Linked DNA regions of Lonchura striata. The protein of the gene in region 1 interacts with the protein of each later gene in a pairwise test. Links are inferred from orthologs where the notes say so. Each region holds a gene or a part of one and is shown in the gene's direction. Other genes may lie near its edges.

Region 1 (7,343 bases):
GGGGTTCCCGAGTTAAACACAGCCCTCTGGCATCCCTGAACTGTGGCTTTGCAGGCACATGCCAAGCCCCAGTACAGTGCCAGAACCTGCTGGTTTTCACTGGGGTAGGCACCTTTGGCATGTCAGTTTCCCAGGGTTACTTGCTTGTTCAGGTGGAGTCCCAGGCTATGGGAGGTGATAACTAGCCCAGGCACTTGCCCAAATCCTGCCACCCACGGACCAGCCACCTCAGGGCACATTTCAGTATTGACTCACCCAAAAAATTGTCTTCTCTTACATTAGGATGACATCAGAATACACAGACCCCATGATATGTCAACTGTGTTAATTACTAGTATTAAACATCTCATGTAAGGCTGAGCAGGAACAATAAAGCCACCCACACCAGGTGGGAGTGGGAAATGGGATCCTCTCCACAAGGCAGCTCCCCCAGCAGAGCAAGGCCATCTGTGCCAGGGCAAAGCACAGAGCCATGGTTTGTACTAACATGTTCCCAAAGCCCAGCAAAGTAAAGAGATAAGAAATGCAGCCAACAAACACCGTGACTCAACAGGAGCTGCCTACTTAGTAACTACTATGGCTAAAGCACACTTAGCACAGAACAGCCATTGCCTCAGGCCCCACACTGGGCACTAAACTGTGGTGGGCTGACCCTGCCTGGACACCAGCTACCCACCAAGCTGCTCTCTCACATCCCTGCTCAGTGGGAGCGGGGCAGGGAGAAAGTAAGATGGGAACGGAATTTGTGGGCCAAGATAAAGACAGTTTAATAAAGCAAAAGCAAGGCTGCATGTGGGAGCAAAGAAAAACTAAATATTTATTCTCTACTTTCAACCAGCAGGAGATGTCCGGCTACCTCCTGGGAAGCACAGCTTCAGTACACAGAGCAGCTGCTCCAGAAGACAGATGTTTGAATAAGGAATGCCCCCCATGTCCTTTCTCTTAGCTATTGCTGCTCAGCAGATGCCATATCGTTTGGAATATCCCAAGATCTTGCCCCCACCCCAGCCTGCTGGTGAGGTGGGAATGTCAGAGACAGCCTTGATGCTGTGGGAACAAAAGCCAAAACACTGGTGTTTTATCAACACCTTCCTAGCTACCAATACAAAACACAGCTCTATGAGGGCTGCTAGGGGTAAAGTTACCGTCAGACACAATCTCAGTCAGACCCAAAACAACTGTTTATTTAAAAAAAAAAAAAAAAAAAAAAACCAGAAACTTTTAACAAAACCACACCGAACAGTGAGGATCCGAAAAGCAAGGCAGCACTGGGGGCATCACAAAGAGAAATGTTCTGCAGGCCCTGACCAACCCAAGGGCTAGATGTGCAGACAAGCACCTCCAAGCGCGTAAGACCTTGTCCACTTCTCTCTCATTCAGACAGTGATACTGTTTATTAAGCAGGTAAGGTTGTAAATTAGAAACCTGAATCTCTTGTGCATCCTCACTGGGTGCCCAGGCACCTGGAGGGCTCCAATGGTGGCAAGCTTTTAAAAAAAGTTCAGTTTGAAAGCAACCACAGTGGCAGCTGCAGCTTGGAGGAAGCCACCTGCTTAAGTGCAACACGAAGAGTATGTCATAGCATAAGATGTGTGTGACATGCTACATTTCTTCTTGCCCAAAATCCTACAGAGCTGTCCATTTTTCCCTTGTTGCCCTGTATCAGCACAGAACATCCCCTCTAGCTCAGAAAGAAGGGAGAATGAACACATGTATATCTGCAGTCTAAGGAGAGTCACCTTTTGCAGGAACTTGGATTTCACTCCATACCCTGAACCCAAATGTGAGAACAGGGCTAGCTCTGGAAGGACAGAGTCCTCTGTGAGCTAGGAATCATGAAGCAATTAATAGATTGCAGGCTGGTGATTTGCCTTCTGCATCTGAATGATCTTGCCAAAGCCACCTCTTCCCACATCGTAGTCTGTCCGGTATTCATCTCGCACCTGGGGCACAGCAACAACACATGTATTAATAGCCAGCACTGCCTGTCCCCTACTAGACTTCAGAATCATCATCCCCTCCTTGTTCAGTTGGTGGGGAACTGAAGTTCAGATTAGAAGCACTTCAACTCGTCTGAGATCTCTTCAACTAATCCACCAGAAACGTGGTAATGGTGGTGAAAATGACCAAAAGGATGTATCTGATTGTTGAGAATTTTTCAGGTAAGAAGCAAAGAAGACCCCAAAGTATTTTTGTTCAGCTTTTCCATACACCCTTTTGAACTGCCAGATTTGGCCTTCAGAACATTTTATCTCATCTAAACCTCATCCTTGCCCTTGGGGAAACTGCTGTTATTGAGATTGGCCTGGCAGCCACACTGCTTCCCTCTACTCAAATTCTGGATCATTTCAAAAGTACTAGCTTGGTTTAGGGAACATTCTGCTTGCATTGCAGGACTTTTGGAGTCCTAGACAGAAGTGGCCTTAAGTTCTATTTCCAGCCTTTAACACCAGGTGTCAATTACCAAAACAACCTGGGAGTGAGTAAACTTCATTATCAGGTCTTTACAGCCTGCACATTGTTCTCCCTAGGACAAAATCAGCAAGTAAGTACACGGAGTCTTAGAGGATCAAATTCAGGGATGAACTGGCATTGCCTTTACCTGTCCTCCAGTCTTTCCTCTCCCATACTGTCGCCCCTCCTTAAACCCTGCATCCCAGTCCGTGCGGATGATGCGGTCGTCCAGCCGTGTGCCGTTGATAAACCTCATGGCATGCTCAGCATCTGCTCTCGTGTAGTATCTGAGGCACTCTGTAAGAACAACTAAGTGTGCTTTGTTGGGTACAGGGAAAAAAAACAGGGAAAGTATTGTATTTGAGAAGCAGAACTCCCCCCCTACTGCCTTCCAGCCTTTTCTACTCTTCCTGCTCTTCTCTATGAGATCAAAAACTGCACTCATGTAAATCTAAGCTAAGACCAGCTAAGGCTCAGAAAGGATTCTGTACTTTAATGTTAGTACCTGCACAGACAAGACAACGAAACAAGACATTAAAGCCTTGCTAAGGGCAAGAAATCAGTAATATGCCTTTTTGTACTATGTAAAGCTTGACTGAAATAGAACAAAAGGAGCAGGCTTCACAGGAGAGCTCTGCATAGACAGCTCCTGGCACAACCTGTATAAGCATGTACCCTTTGCTTGAAAACGCCCCCATGGCTTATCCAGCTACTTCCTTCAGGTGTAAAGTTGAGATAAGAAAGTAAACGTGCTCTGGACATGGAAGACATCAGACTGATGAATGTAACAGCTCTCATTCTGGCCATAAAACCATTAAACGAATGAATTAAAGGGGCTCTCTGCCGCCTCCAGAAACTACAGCTCTGGTGGCACTTGTCACGTATGGCACCACTACACAATCGGTCTCAGGGCACAGTGAGGAAGGGGCAAGGATGGACGGGATGTGCCTGGTAGGAAGCACTTGGCTATCACCTTTCCAGCAGCAGTACAGATACACTTGCAGTGCAGAGGAACTACAGGCGCCAACCACATCCCTACTGACAAAAGGGAACCAGAAAGGATACTCTACAAAGCAGAAGCCACAGGGGGTTTTCTTGATCTTGTCCAGACCCATGACAATTCTCTTGACATCTCCGCACTTGGAGAACAGCTCCTGGATCTGCTCCTCGGTGGTGTAGAAGGAGAGATTACCGACATACAGCGTGGAGGAAATCTTCAGGGATTTCTCCTGCAGCTGCCTGCTACCCTGCGGGCACAGAGGCGCACGCCGCGGGCTCAGCGCGCTCGCCGTCCCGCTCCTACCGCCCCGTGCCCTCCCGCTGCCCGGCTTCTCGCACGGCCTTGCCCCGGCCTCAGCCCTCCCCGCCCCGGCCGGGCCGGGCCGGGTCCCGCCACCCGCGGCGCCGGGCGCACCCGGAAGTGCTGGTCCCGGTACTGGCTGATCTCGCAGTACGAGTCGCTGTTGAGCCCGCTGAGCGTGGTGTGCAGCAGCCCCGACATGGCGCCCGCCGGCCCCACCGCCGGGATCCTTCCAGAACCGCCGCGCGCCGGACGCGGGGAGCGGCGCGCGAGAAACGCCGCTCCCGCCCCGCGCGATTGGCCGCGCCGGCTGTCACTCAGGCGGGGGCGGGGCGGAGCCGCCGGACAGCCAATCGGCAGCTCGGGGGCCCGCCTGGAGCGCTGGGCTGGGGCGCGCAGGCGCAGTGCGGGGCGCAGCGCTCCCGCTGAGGGGCCATGGCGGGGCCGCGGGCGGCGGCCGCGGAAGGTGCTGTGGGCCCTGGGCTCTCCCCGATAAGCGCCGCCCCTGGCGGCTGACGTTGGGCTGCGTGTCATGCCCCGCTGTCCTCCTGTCTTACAGCGCTGGTGCAGGAGCTGCTGAGGGAAGAGGCGCCGTCCCGCATTGCTGCCCTCGCGGAGGAGCTGTTCCAGGCGGCGGAGAGCATCTCTGAAGGGGATGGGAAGGTGGCGGAGGGAGAGTCCCCCGCTCCCAGCCCGTCTGAAGAAACGGGGCGTGCATGTGCTTCGCACCCCACAGCCCTGGCCCAGGTTGGTGCTGCAGCTCCCTAAACACCAGCTGCTGCTGCTGCTTCCCATCCTTGGCGGTGAGGCTAAAAGTGTAACACTACTGAAACGTAAAGAAAAGAGTTCACTTCTTCGTCATTTGCCCCAATAGCGTAAAAGTCCAAAATAAAGTGGGAAATGTTATTTTTAAAAGTCAATGTGAAATGATCTTGAATGTAAAAATATGTGTGTCAGTAACTCTGCTCTCATGAGACCCCACCTGGATACTGTGTTCAGGTCTGGGGTCACCAGCATCAGAAGGATGTGGACCTGCTGGAGGAAGTCATGAAGGTGACTGAAGGGCTGGAGCACCTCTCCTGGGAAAGGCAGATCGAGTTCAGCCAGAAGAGAAGGCTCTGGGGAGAACTTACAGCACCTTTAGTGCCTAAAGGGGTTCCAAGAGAGCTGGAGGAGGACTTTGGCCAAGGGCTTGAAGTAATAGGAAAAGGGGAAATGGCTTTACATTGAAAGTAGGTTGACTTAGATTAGATATTAGTAATATACTGTGAGGGTGGGGAGGCCCTGGCAACAGGTTGCCCAGAGCAGCTGTGGCTGCCCCATCCCTGGAAGTGTCCAAGGCTAGGTTGGACAGGGCTTGGAGCAACCTGGTCTGGTGAAAGGTATTGGAACTGGCTTGTCTTTAAGGTCACTTCCAACCCATCCATTCTATGATAATAATGGGAAAAAATACTGGTTACTTGTGCTGTTAAGGTATATATTATTTCAAACTACTAGTAGTATCTAGTTGTAATTTCAAGGAAAAATGGAAGCAGAGAGCACTGATGCATTAAGCATTTGGTACTGGATCAGAGGAGAGGCCCTTCTCACCTTGTCTGTGGATTCCCATAGTGACAGCAGATAACCCAAGGAAGAAGAAAACAAGCAAGCATGTAATTTTAACTGCCTGGTAAACAATATTCCAGTACACAATATTATATTTGAGGTACTAATTTTCAGTCCTTGCTAAAGTTTATCAGATGGTTGTTCATAATGTTTGCTTTTTCCTTCTGTTTATTTCTCCTAGAGGAGTACTTAGAAAGAAGTAAACATTACTTTTAAAACTCTTTTTTCAAAGAGAAATCTGGTAATATATGAATCTGAAATAAGGAAGAAGACCAGCTGAGATATAGTCCAGCTTCTTCCTCTAAAATTATATTTTCAAGAGACATTTAATAAGTAGCAATTATCAGCTAAGGAACACTGGTTTTGGAAGTCCTAAATTTGCAACAAGGAGCAAAATAAGTTAGCAGGTGTAGCAGAAAGTGTCAATAGTACAGTTTGTAAAGAAATACAAGAGCATAAAAGTGCTATCCTTAAGTTCTTCCTGAGTCAATTGGGGTAAATTATTTTTGAAGAAAGGAGAAATCATTCATTTGTAATCTGGCCACTTCAATAAGAGGGGCTATGAACTCTCTCCTAGATAGGCAAGATCTCTCATGAAAAGTAGAATAAAGTGATGGAAAATGCAGCCCCTCAGGTGGGTTGCTAAAGCAGATTATTGCTTTTATGTAGTGTTGTATCTTTTGAACAAGAGTATATACTCAGTAACCTTTGTTCTTTGTTTGCTAATATCCAAAGTTTCCCAGTGTAGGTATTTAAAGTAATTAAGCTACTTAGTGTTCTTTTTGATGTGCAAAAGAGGTGAAGCCTTACTACAGGTCGTTCTCAAATGTGATAAGAATTCTTAGAGTTCTTTTCCAACCCCTTCAGATTTTAGGTGAAGAAATGCTGCATCCATTCAGCATGCCTGTTTTCAGGTCACTGTCCAGCATGTCCTGTGGGATCCTGTGACAGTTTTATGGAAAGCTCACACCTTTCACTCTGGTGTAAACGGAAGTTGACAAACACTTGGAGAGGCCATTCCTGTGAAACACATGAAAGATGCTTATTTTTCAGTAGTAAATTTCAATTGGATCCATATCCGGGACAAAATTTAATTGAGTGGAATTCTCCCCTTCAGGTTGAAGAGAGTGCAGTCAGCTTGTGGAACTGGACTGTGACCAAACACACAGCTGCTGTTATCAGTGATGAGCAAAGAGCCAAACGTATGTATGTTCTGTACCTTCCTAAAGGTGTTCTATGTGCTGTAGCATGGAAACTAAACACTCTCTGCTGCCAGGCACATAAGTAGTGCTGTAGATTTGTTTGAGCCTTTGTAGACATGGTCTAGAAAGACAAAAATGTACTGGTGGGCTTGTATAAACAGTTCAAGAAGAAGCATCCTAATGCAATACTTATCTTCTTGTGACACAGAATCAGTGTAGGCATTTTTATCACTCTCCTTTCCATGCCAGAGCACCAGTAAGGAGGTGATGAGACCAAAGGAAGCTGTAATTTGCCTTCTGAGACTGTGGTTCAAATCTAAAAATGTATGGAAATAACACAGATAAATTTTAGACCGTTGGTCACTTAATTTATATCAAGTGAGATAGTTACATTAAAAAAACAATCTCATCCACGTTTACATACAGAAACATTCTAAGTCCTCTTTTTATTGACCTGCTTTAGCCAGGTGCACAGCTGGTAGGTTCTCTTGGGCCAGGGGCAGGGCTGGGGGAAAGCAGAAATGAGCTTTTGGGATTTTGCCTTAGTGTGTTCTTTCTGTGGTTTTGTGGGATTGCAGTGTCAAGCCTACATTCTTGTCCTGAGGGATTATAGTCAAAATGATGTATAATCTGCATCATATGAATTATACCAGGTAAAGGGAAAAGGGTAAGTTGACACAAAGTAGAGCACGATGTTCTCAGATCATTGCTGAAGGGCCACGGAGAGGCTGTTTAAAGTACATTAAATAGTGTCTTTTCCATCCCTGATGTCTAAGGAAGGC
Region 2 (7,774 bases), on another chromosome or scaffold:
AAGCCCATCCTCCTGCTATGTAATGAATAGAAAAGGGAGGAATCCATAATCATGATGTAAAGGAGAGGGTGCAACCAGCAGGACATCAATCAAATGGAAAATGATAAAGGAAGCCTCTTGACAGGAGGGGCCAGCAGTAGAGGGAGGGATAGTGGCAGCATCATGAGGCCAAAAGAAATTTTGGCACGGCAATAAATCCTGGAGCGGCTGGAGCCGCTCGAGCACTAATGATGAGGCGAAAATACCAGCCACGTTTAACAAATATTTCTGCTCTGTATTTGGAGAGAAGCAGGACGACATGCTTGAATTGTACAAGAGTGATGAAACCGCCTATTAATTACTGCCGGGAATGTTAAACAACATCTGCCAGCTCAGCGGGCCCAGGCACCGCCCGCCCCGGCCTCCTCCAAGAGCTGGAGGAGAATTTGGCTTCCTCATTAATTTCCTACGAAATCTTGGAATAGCAAGAAAATCCTGGCCAGCTGATGGAGAGCCCACCCATGCTGGGAGCTGCAGGGAGGCAGGGGTGCTCAGTCCTTAACTTGGCTCTGCTGGGATTTATATCATGTTTGCACCCAGTACAATCCTTCTTGATGAAGAATAGCCGTAAGTTGGCAAAGGTTGGGCTTTTCTTTCCCATAACTTGGTATATAGATTTTCTGTATATTCATGTATTTTTGGAGGTTGCAAGAAAGTGAGGCTTGAGCTGGAAAATGTGCTCATTAAGGCACCCTTCAGGAACCTCTGTCACAGCTTTGGGAGGCACTGCCATCTTTCCCTGCATTTCTCATGTGCTGTGCAGTGCCTGCAACCAGAAAAATGGGGGGGACAGAAGGGCAGAGGGGATAGGGGAACAGGGGAAGGGAGGAGATGTAAAGGGGCTGGAGGAATGGAGGGGAAGGAGCAGAGGAGGGCGAAGAAATAGAATAAGAAGGCAAAGATGAAGAGGAAGAGGAGGAGGAGAGAGGGGGTCCAGGAGGGAGGACCCCATAGGACCAGAGCAAGTTCCATCTGTGGCACAGTCCTGCTCCCCCATCATTAGCAGCAGAAGGTAGCTTCTTCATTTTAGGAGGTGGAAACTGAGCAAGAAAAGTGGCTGAAGGGCACAGCAGACTTCAACAGCAGAAAACAGGTGGCTCAGCAGCAGAAAGACAGTAATTAACAAATTAACTCTGTACAGTATGCACTGACCAGGTTAAGCAGAGGAGGACTTGACAGAGTCAAGTCAGAATCCCAGAAGGAGTCCTCAGCAGGCACCAGGGCTGCCACCTCTCTTCAGTGCCAGGTCCTTGAGTCAAACCACCACTGGTGCCCACGGCTGTGAAAACAAGGAGGTCCAAGAAACTCAGGTGGGATTCTGGGTAAGGCAGGGAGCTGGGCAGATACATGCAGCCAGCCACGTCTCATCACTCTGCAAAGCCTGCCCCAACACCGGGGAGCTGGGAGGGAACCCAGCAGGGGTGATGGGGCTCAGGGCACAGCTGCCATGGGGTTACACTGGTCTCAGTGTACAGGTGGGGAGGTGGGGCTGGGCTGGTGCTGGTCCTGTGGAGAGGCTTTTTATCTCTTGGCCCCTTTGCATCCCGAGGGCACAGGTTTAAGGAAGACCATCTTTGGTGAAAAATCATGAGATTTAATACAAGCAAAACTCCCGCAGCTGCCTCCACAAGATGCTGGGTCACATGTGGATTATTTTTCCCAGACCTTTTTTACACATAAAGAGGTTAGAATTTACTCCCTATAAAAGCCAAAATCCAAATATGGCTGCAAAATATTGGGGTGCTTTGGAGGAGAGAAGAAAGCTTGTGGGGAAGAGATGCTTGGGATGCCCTCTTTCAGTCTGAGCCCTGGATTCCCTTGCACAGCCACAAGGTGCAGGGGGAAATGGGACAGGTCTGGGGGTGCCCAAGAGGGATGGGGTAAGAAGTGTCAGTGGGATGGCGCCATCCAGACACCCCAGCCCACAGCACCTCATCCCTCACGGCCCTCAGGGGGCCAGCTGGGCCACCTGGGACAGACAGTTACAATACAGAAATGTCAATTTAAATTAAAACATCTTTCATAAAGGAGAAAGATAAAACCTGCCCTGTAGTAAAATGAGATGAGAGAATTATGGGGTACTGGGAGGACTGGTGTCCCCACTTCAGTGGGCTCAGGGTGGGGGGCTGGCTTGGCTTCTGCTGTTGGCACTGCAGGGCACCCCGAGGCACTGCCATCTCCCCATCCCAGCCATCACAGAGGCCAGAGCTGGGTCTGCAACGAAATGTCAGCTCGACAATAAAATGTGGAGAAGCTACATTTTCTTCAGGCTAATAAAACTCCTGGGCAGCAGCAGAGATGCTTGGTACAGAGCTGCTCTCCCTCTCCAGCACCCTCCTTGGGCCCCTCCTCATCTTCCTTGGAGATACGGGGTCCATCTGACCCCATGCTCATTGTGCCAGCCCCTCAACAGAGGCTGCTGAGCACAGGCCCCAGCAGCAGTGTGAGACACGGCTCCAGAGCTGTGTGTGCCACGGCAGGGAGTAAATCCTCAGCGTCCTGTCAAGGTAAAGTGACAAAACACCGGCCTGCAATGCAGGAACTGCAGTTATAACATGAGAAAATCAATGCAATATATTACCAGGGACATAAAGATGCTATTAATGCTTCAGCGCAGAGCCCTCAGCTTCACCTGCCATCGCAGGGCAGGTTTACATGAAGGCTCTGTGCATTCCCATCTGGTTGCTCAGGTCACTCACATGCTGGGGCTCAGTTCTGTGTTTATTCACTGACACCCCCACCCAGCAAAGCTTTCCTGCTCCCACACACTGACTCCTGGGCTTTGACCCTGTCAGGGGCCTGGGCTCCAGCTGGAGATGTAACCAGGGCTGCTGGGGCGATGCATGGCCTCAGTGAATGCCTTTCTGAGGTGCAAGGACACAGCGAGGCTGCAGCCCCAGGCCAGGCAGGTACCAGCTTTCTTTCTAGGGATTCCAATGACTGTGCAGCTCTGCAATCCACCCACCTGCACTCAGGTGCCTCCTGGAAAAGACTGAAGAGGATGACAACCCCTGTGCACCACAGAATGAGGCCACAGGATATGTATAAGGTGCAGCACTCCCCTGGCATGGCAGCTGCCGGCAGGGAGCAGTCTGTGTCCTGGGGACATGTGTGCTGGATAAGGAGGAGAGCTGGGCATATACATACAGCCAGCCACATCACATCACTCTGCAAAGCCTGCCCCAATACCGGGAAGCAGGGAGGGACACCCACCAGGGGTGATGGGGCTCAGGGCACAGCTGCCGTGGGGTTACACTGGGGAGGCGGGTCTGGAGGAGGTTGGTGCTGGATCCCGTGGACAGGCTTTTCGTCTCTTGGCCTCTTTGCAACCCGAGGACATGGTTGCCACTCCCTGCAATTGACAGTTTGGACTGTTACTGAGAAGTTGAGTCAAGCCTCTTCTAATTGATTAATCAATAGCTTTAATTGAGTTGAGACTCCTTAGTGGGTAACTTCACCACTGTTATCCCCTTCGCCAGCACTACCCCACACTGACCCCCCACCAAAAACCTGTTGCTGTGGCCTGGCCTCTGCCCAGGCTGTGCTCCCACAGCACAGCGAATTCCTGGGGCTTGCCGTTGCCTGGGGCTGCAGAGGGCTACTGCAGCAGTGACAGAGGGCTCGGACCGTGCGGGGCTCCCCCAGCACGGGGTAGGAGCCCCCAGGAACAAGCTGAAACACAAGGGGCTGCAAAATGTCCACGGCTTACGGTACCCGTTCTGTCAGGCACGGCAGAGCCCCGGGCACGGGCAGGGCAGGACACGCACCCCGCCCGCGCAGCCTGCGGGAGCGCGGGGGGACACACGGAGCAGGGGAATGGGCACTGGGGGCGCGGGGCTCCTGCGGGCACCGCCGGGGTCACGCTGCTGCACGCCCGAGCCACAGCTCTGCAGAAGCGGAGAGGAACATTTTATGGTAAAATATGCAGAGCATGGGACAAAAGGAGAGAGCCTTTCTCGCATAATGAGACTCTGTCAGAGACAAGCTCCCCAGGAAACCAATTAAGAGGGCGCTTCGCGTGTGTCAGGCCAACACCTGGCAAACCCCCCTTTCCCAGAGTGAATTCCAGCCGCGTGGAATTCCAGCAGCAGCTCCATGCGGCCCCAGCACGGCTCTGTCCCGCAGACCCTCAGGCGCAGCCGGGAACCCCACGCGTGTCACAGGCGGCACGAAGCCGTCTCTGCCCGCGGGGGCGCGGCGTGGGGCCGCTCGCCCACGGCCGCGGGCACGTCCCGGAGCCCTCGGCCCAGCACTGCCGCCGCCGAGGGCGCTCGCTGCGCTCCCGGGCCGGGCCGGGCCGGGGCTGTCCGGGCGGGACGCGGGGCCCGGAGCGCCCCGGGAGCGCCGCCCAGGCCCGCCCCGCCCCGCCCCGCCGCCATGGCGCTGCGCTTCTCCGCCAACCTCTCATGGCTCTTCCCCGAGCTGCCGGCGCTGCCGGCGCGGCTGGAAGCGGCGGCGGCCGCCGGGTTCGGAGCGGTGGAGGCGGCTTGGCCGGCGGGCTGCCCGGCCCAGGAGCTGCGGGCCGCGGCGGAGCGGGCGCGGGTGCAGATCGCGCTCCTCAACGCCCCCCCCGGTACGGCCGCGGCCCGCCGCTCCCCCCGTGCGAGGGGAGCGAGGACCCTCCGCCGACCCTGCCGCTCTCTCCCAGGGGACCCGGAGGCGGGCGAGCTGGGGCTGGCGGCCGTGCCGGGGCGGCAGGCTGCCTTCCGACAGGGCCTGGAGGCGGCCGTGCGCTACGCCAGGGCTGTGGGCTGCCCCAGGTAGGTGCGAGGCGGGACCCCGGCCCCGGCTGCGGTCCTGCTCCAGCGCTCCTGCCCTTTGCCCCGCGGTGCCTGCCGCCGCCGGGTCACCGAGCCTCTCCCGGGCAGCATCTCCTGCTCGGCTGCGTGGGGAAGGAGCCAGCTCGGGCAGACCCCGCTGTGCGGGGCCGCGGCCTCGGCGTGCTCGCCGGGAGCGGGCCCAGAGCTGCCAGGCACGAGCCTGACCCTGCCCTTCGCAGTAGAGGCTCTTGAGTAGGCTCCCACCTCCACACAACCGTCCTCAGGATAATCCTCCCTTTTTCCTCCTCAACTGCACCAGTCGTTTCCACCAGGACACCACAACAGTTGCTTTATTGAGGCCACGCTGACTCCAGCACTAGCAGAGACACCATAAAAGATGCAATTAGCCTGGCACAGCTCCCCCTTCAGCAAACCAACAGGGCCCTTTTATTCCCCTTACTTTGGACCATTCTTTTCGGTTGCAACTCAGTCCAAAGCCCTGTGGAGGGCATGGGCTAGGCAGCCCAGAGGCTGCCCAGCACCATTTGCACACTGGTACAGGCACACTGAAAAGGTTTTTGTTTCTACTGTGTTCCTTCCCCCAGTAGTGGCTGAAGATGGCCTGGTGCTTGAGCTCTTCATGGCAGGGCAGTCCAGCAGGCAGCACTGTCCCCTCCCTGCTCACAGCCAGCAAGCAGTGACACCACGCAGAGGGCAGGCCCCTGGCAGAAGTAGCATGCCAGTTGCCCAACATGCTGGTTTGGGGCTCCTCAAGAAGCAAGAGCCCAAAAAGCTTCAGAGTCAGGGTGAAAGAGCTGAAAGCAGTTAACAAAAGAGAGAAGAAGTAAGGTCTGTAGTTTGTCAGGCAAAAGGTTCAAAGTCATCCCTCTGTGGATTGAGGTGGAATGGAGCATATTTGTGTCCTGGCTGGCAGCTGGCTGCTGTTGTGCCTCCTGGAGGAGAGATGGATCTTCTTACCCCTTTCTGTGTCTGCTCCCCCAGCCTGGCCCCCTTTTCCATCAGTAAAGGAAGGTGTATTAGATCAGGCCAGCTGCTCACAGTTGCTGCCTGTGATTATCTTTCTGTGCCTGTAGGATTCATGTGATGGCTGGGCGGGTTCCCTTGGGCACAGACCGGGCTGCAGTTGCAGGTGAGATGGAAACCACCTTCATTGAGAATCTCAGATACACTGCTGACCTCCTGTCCCAGGTAAGTGGGGAATGGGTCCTGCTTTGTACGTGCAGTTCTTAGGATACCCAAGATGGGGAATAGCCCACCAGCCTGGCATAGGGAAGTTATGCTTCCTGCTGCAGAAATAACAGGATGCTCCTCAGGGTGACATTACTGTTTACAGGAAGACATGATTGGACTGCTGGAGCCTATTAACAACCGTATCACTGACCCTCGCTACTATCTGAACACCCCACACCAAGGTAAACCAGACAACAAAAGTCTCCTTCAGAGGAGAAGGATCTCCACAGTTGATAAAGGGGGTCCTGGGGTTTCTCTGCAAAGCTTCCACCCTGGGGCCATGGTTTCTCATTTTTTGCCCCCTTAGCTGCTGCCATTCTGGAGAAAGTGGGACGGCCCAACCTGAAGCTGCAGCTGGTGAGTCAGCATTGAAGCTCTCCATGAGAGAAACTTGCACAGGTCCACAAAGGAATTCTGGTGGCCATGGCCTTGTTAGATCCCCTTGGGGATACTGGACAGGGATTAAAGCACAGCTGTCCTTAACCGCTCACAGTTGATCAGCTGCACCCTCCATTTTCCTCTCTCGCCCCCAGGACCTTTTTCACTGCCAGATCATGGATGGCAATTTGTCACACAACCTGGAGACGTACTTCCCACTCATCGGTAATACCCTGTGCCCAGACCACTGGGGAGTGGTTTTGAGAGGGGGCCCTCCTACTCCAGGCTCTGCTGTAGCTGGCTGAGGGTGTGGGGCTGATCTTGGGTCACCTTGTCTCATGGCCAAAGAAGGCTGCAAGCAGGGCTGCCTTAGGCATGGCCTCTCCCCTTTCCCCGCTAGGTCATATCCAGATTGCACAGGTCCCAGGGCGGCACGAGCCCGATAGCCCTGGGGAGTTGAACTTCCCCTACATCTTTGAGCTCCTGGAGTCCCTTGGCTACACTGGCTATGTGGGGTGCGAGTATGCTCCGAAGGGTGAGTAGACCTGCAGGTCTGAGCCCTACGGGCAGTCCAAGCACAGACCAGCTGGCTACATACTGTGCAAAGACAGGCAGGTCCTGGGAGGCACAGGGTGTCATCCCTACCTGGGGATGAGGGCTCTGTCCTGAACAGAAGTTGCTCCAGCTGCAGCAGGAGACCTTGTCTGTTACTGCAGGAGACACCCTGGAAGGTCTGGGCTGGCTGCGATCCTACTGGGAAAGCCGAGGGCTGCAGCATGGTGGGACCAGCAAGGCAGCCAAGTAAAACTAGAAAACCATGAGAATAAAAGACAAAACAATGGCTTATCAGAGGAGCATGTGTCTTCTCTAGGACTAGGGGAGTGTGGTGGGTGGGATGATTACCTAGAATGAGATTAGGAGCATCTTTGTCATTTCCCTTCCCCAGGCTTTACTGGGCCAGCCCAAGCTGTTGAGCCCTCATCTACAGAAGTACCACTTGTAGTGTGTTCAATTTAGTGATGGCTCAGGCACCACTGTACCACTTCAGGTACAGAGAAAACTTTCACTTCCAGGCTGCAGGAGTGTCCAAGAAGAGGTTTCCAGTCTCCCCAATAAGGGGAGCATTCCAGCTGGTGCCTGAAGTTGTAGAAAGAACACTTTGGACTTCCAGGTACTGAAGTTCTCAAGGCTGTTGCCAGTGTCCAGCACTGGCAGCAGGGCTGCAGGTGAAGCAAGCAGTCCCCTCCCAGGCTGTCTGATCCAAGGTAACAGGCTGCCTGCACATGGATATCCAAGCCTTGACTGTCTTGCTGCTCCTGCTCTGGAGCAAGAGTAAGATTCCAAAG

The links. The genes of interacting proteins can lie anywhere in the genome.
Region 2: the proteins of TEX11 (region 1) and HYI interact in binary tests that used the Homo sapiens proteins (3 or more experiments, as listed by UniProt). The two-hybrid records come from large-scale screens. The link is inferred for Lonchura striata from reciprocal best matches to the Homo sapiens genes TEX11 and HYI.

What each region holds. Positions count from the first base shown.
Region 1 is NC_134616.1:19,168,630-19,175,972, forward strand, and holds the start of TEX11 (testis-expressed protein 11), read left to right. Parts: upstream 1-4,164; 5' UTR 4,165-4,189; coding exon 4,190-4,220; intron 4,221-4,313; coding exon 4,314-4,501; intron 4,502-6,476; coding exon 6,477-6,561; intron 6,562-7,343. Other genes in the region: nuclear cap-binding protein subunit 2, read right to left, coding at 1,845-1,943, 2,603-2,741, 3,520-3,701, 3,869-3,955. UniProt on the Homo sapiens protein: Regulator of crossing-over during meiosis. Involved in initiation and/or maintenance of chromosome synapsis and formation of crossovers.
Region 2 is NC_134611.1:14,980,486-14,988,259, forward strand, and holds HYI (putative hydroxypyruvate isomerase), read left to right. Parts: upstream 1-4,416; coding exon 4,417-4,612; intron 4,613-4,687; coding exon 4,688-4,799; intron 4,800-5,121; exon of another isoform or gene 5,122-5,893; coding exon 5,894-6,008; exon of another isoform or gene 6,009-6,153; coding exon 6,154-6,232; exon of another isoform or gene 6,233-6,357; coding exon 6,358-6,407; exon of another isoform or gene 6,408-6,583; coding exon 6,584-6,653; exon of another isoform or gene 6,654-6,828; coding exon 6,829-6,963; exon of another isoform or gene 6,964-7,144; coding exon 7,145-7,233; 3' UTR 7,234-7,277; downstream 7,278-7,774. UniProt on the Homo sapiens protein: Catalyzes the reversible isomerization between hydroxypyruvate and 2-hydroxy-3-oxopropanoate (also termed tartronate semialdehyde).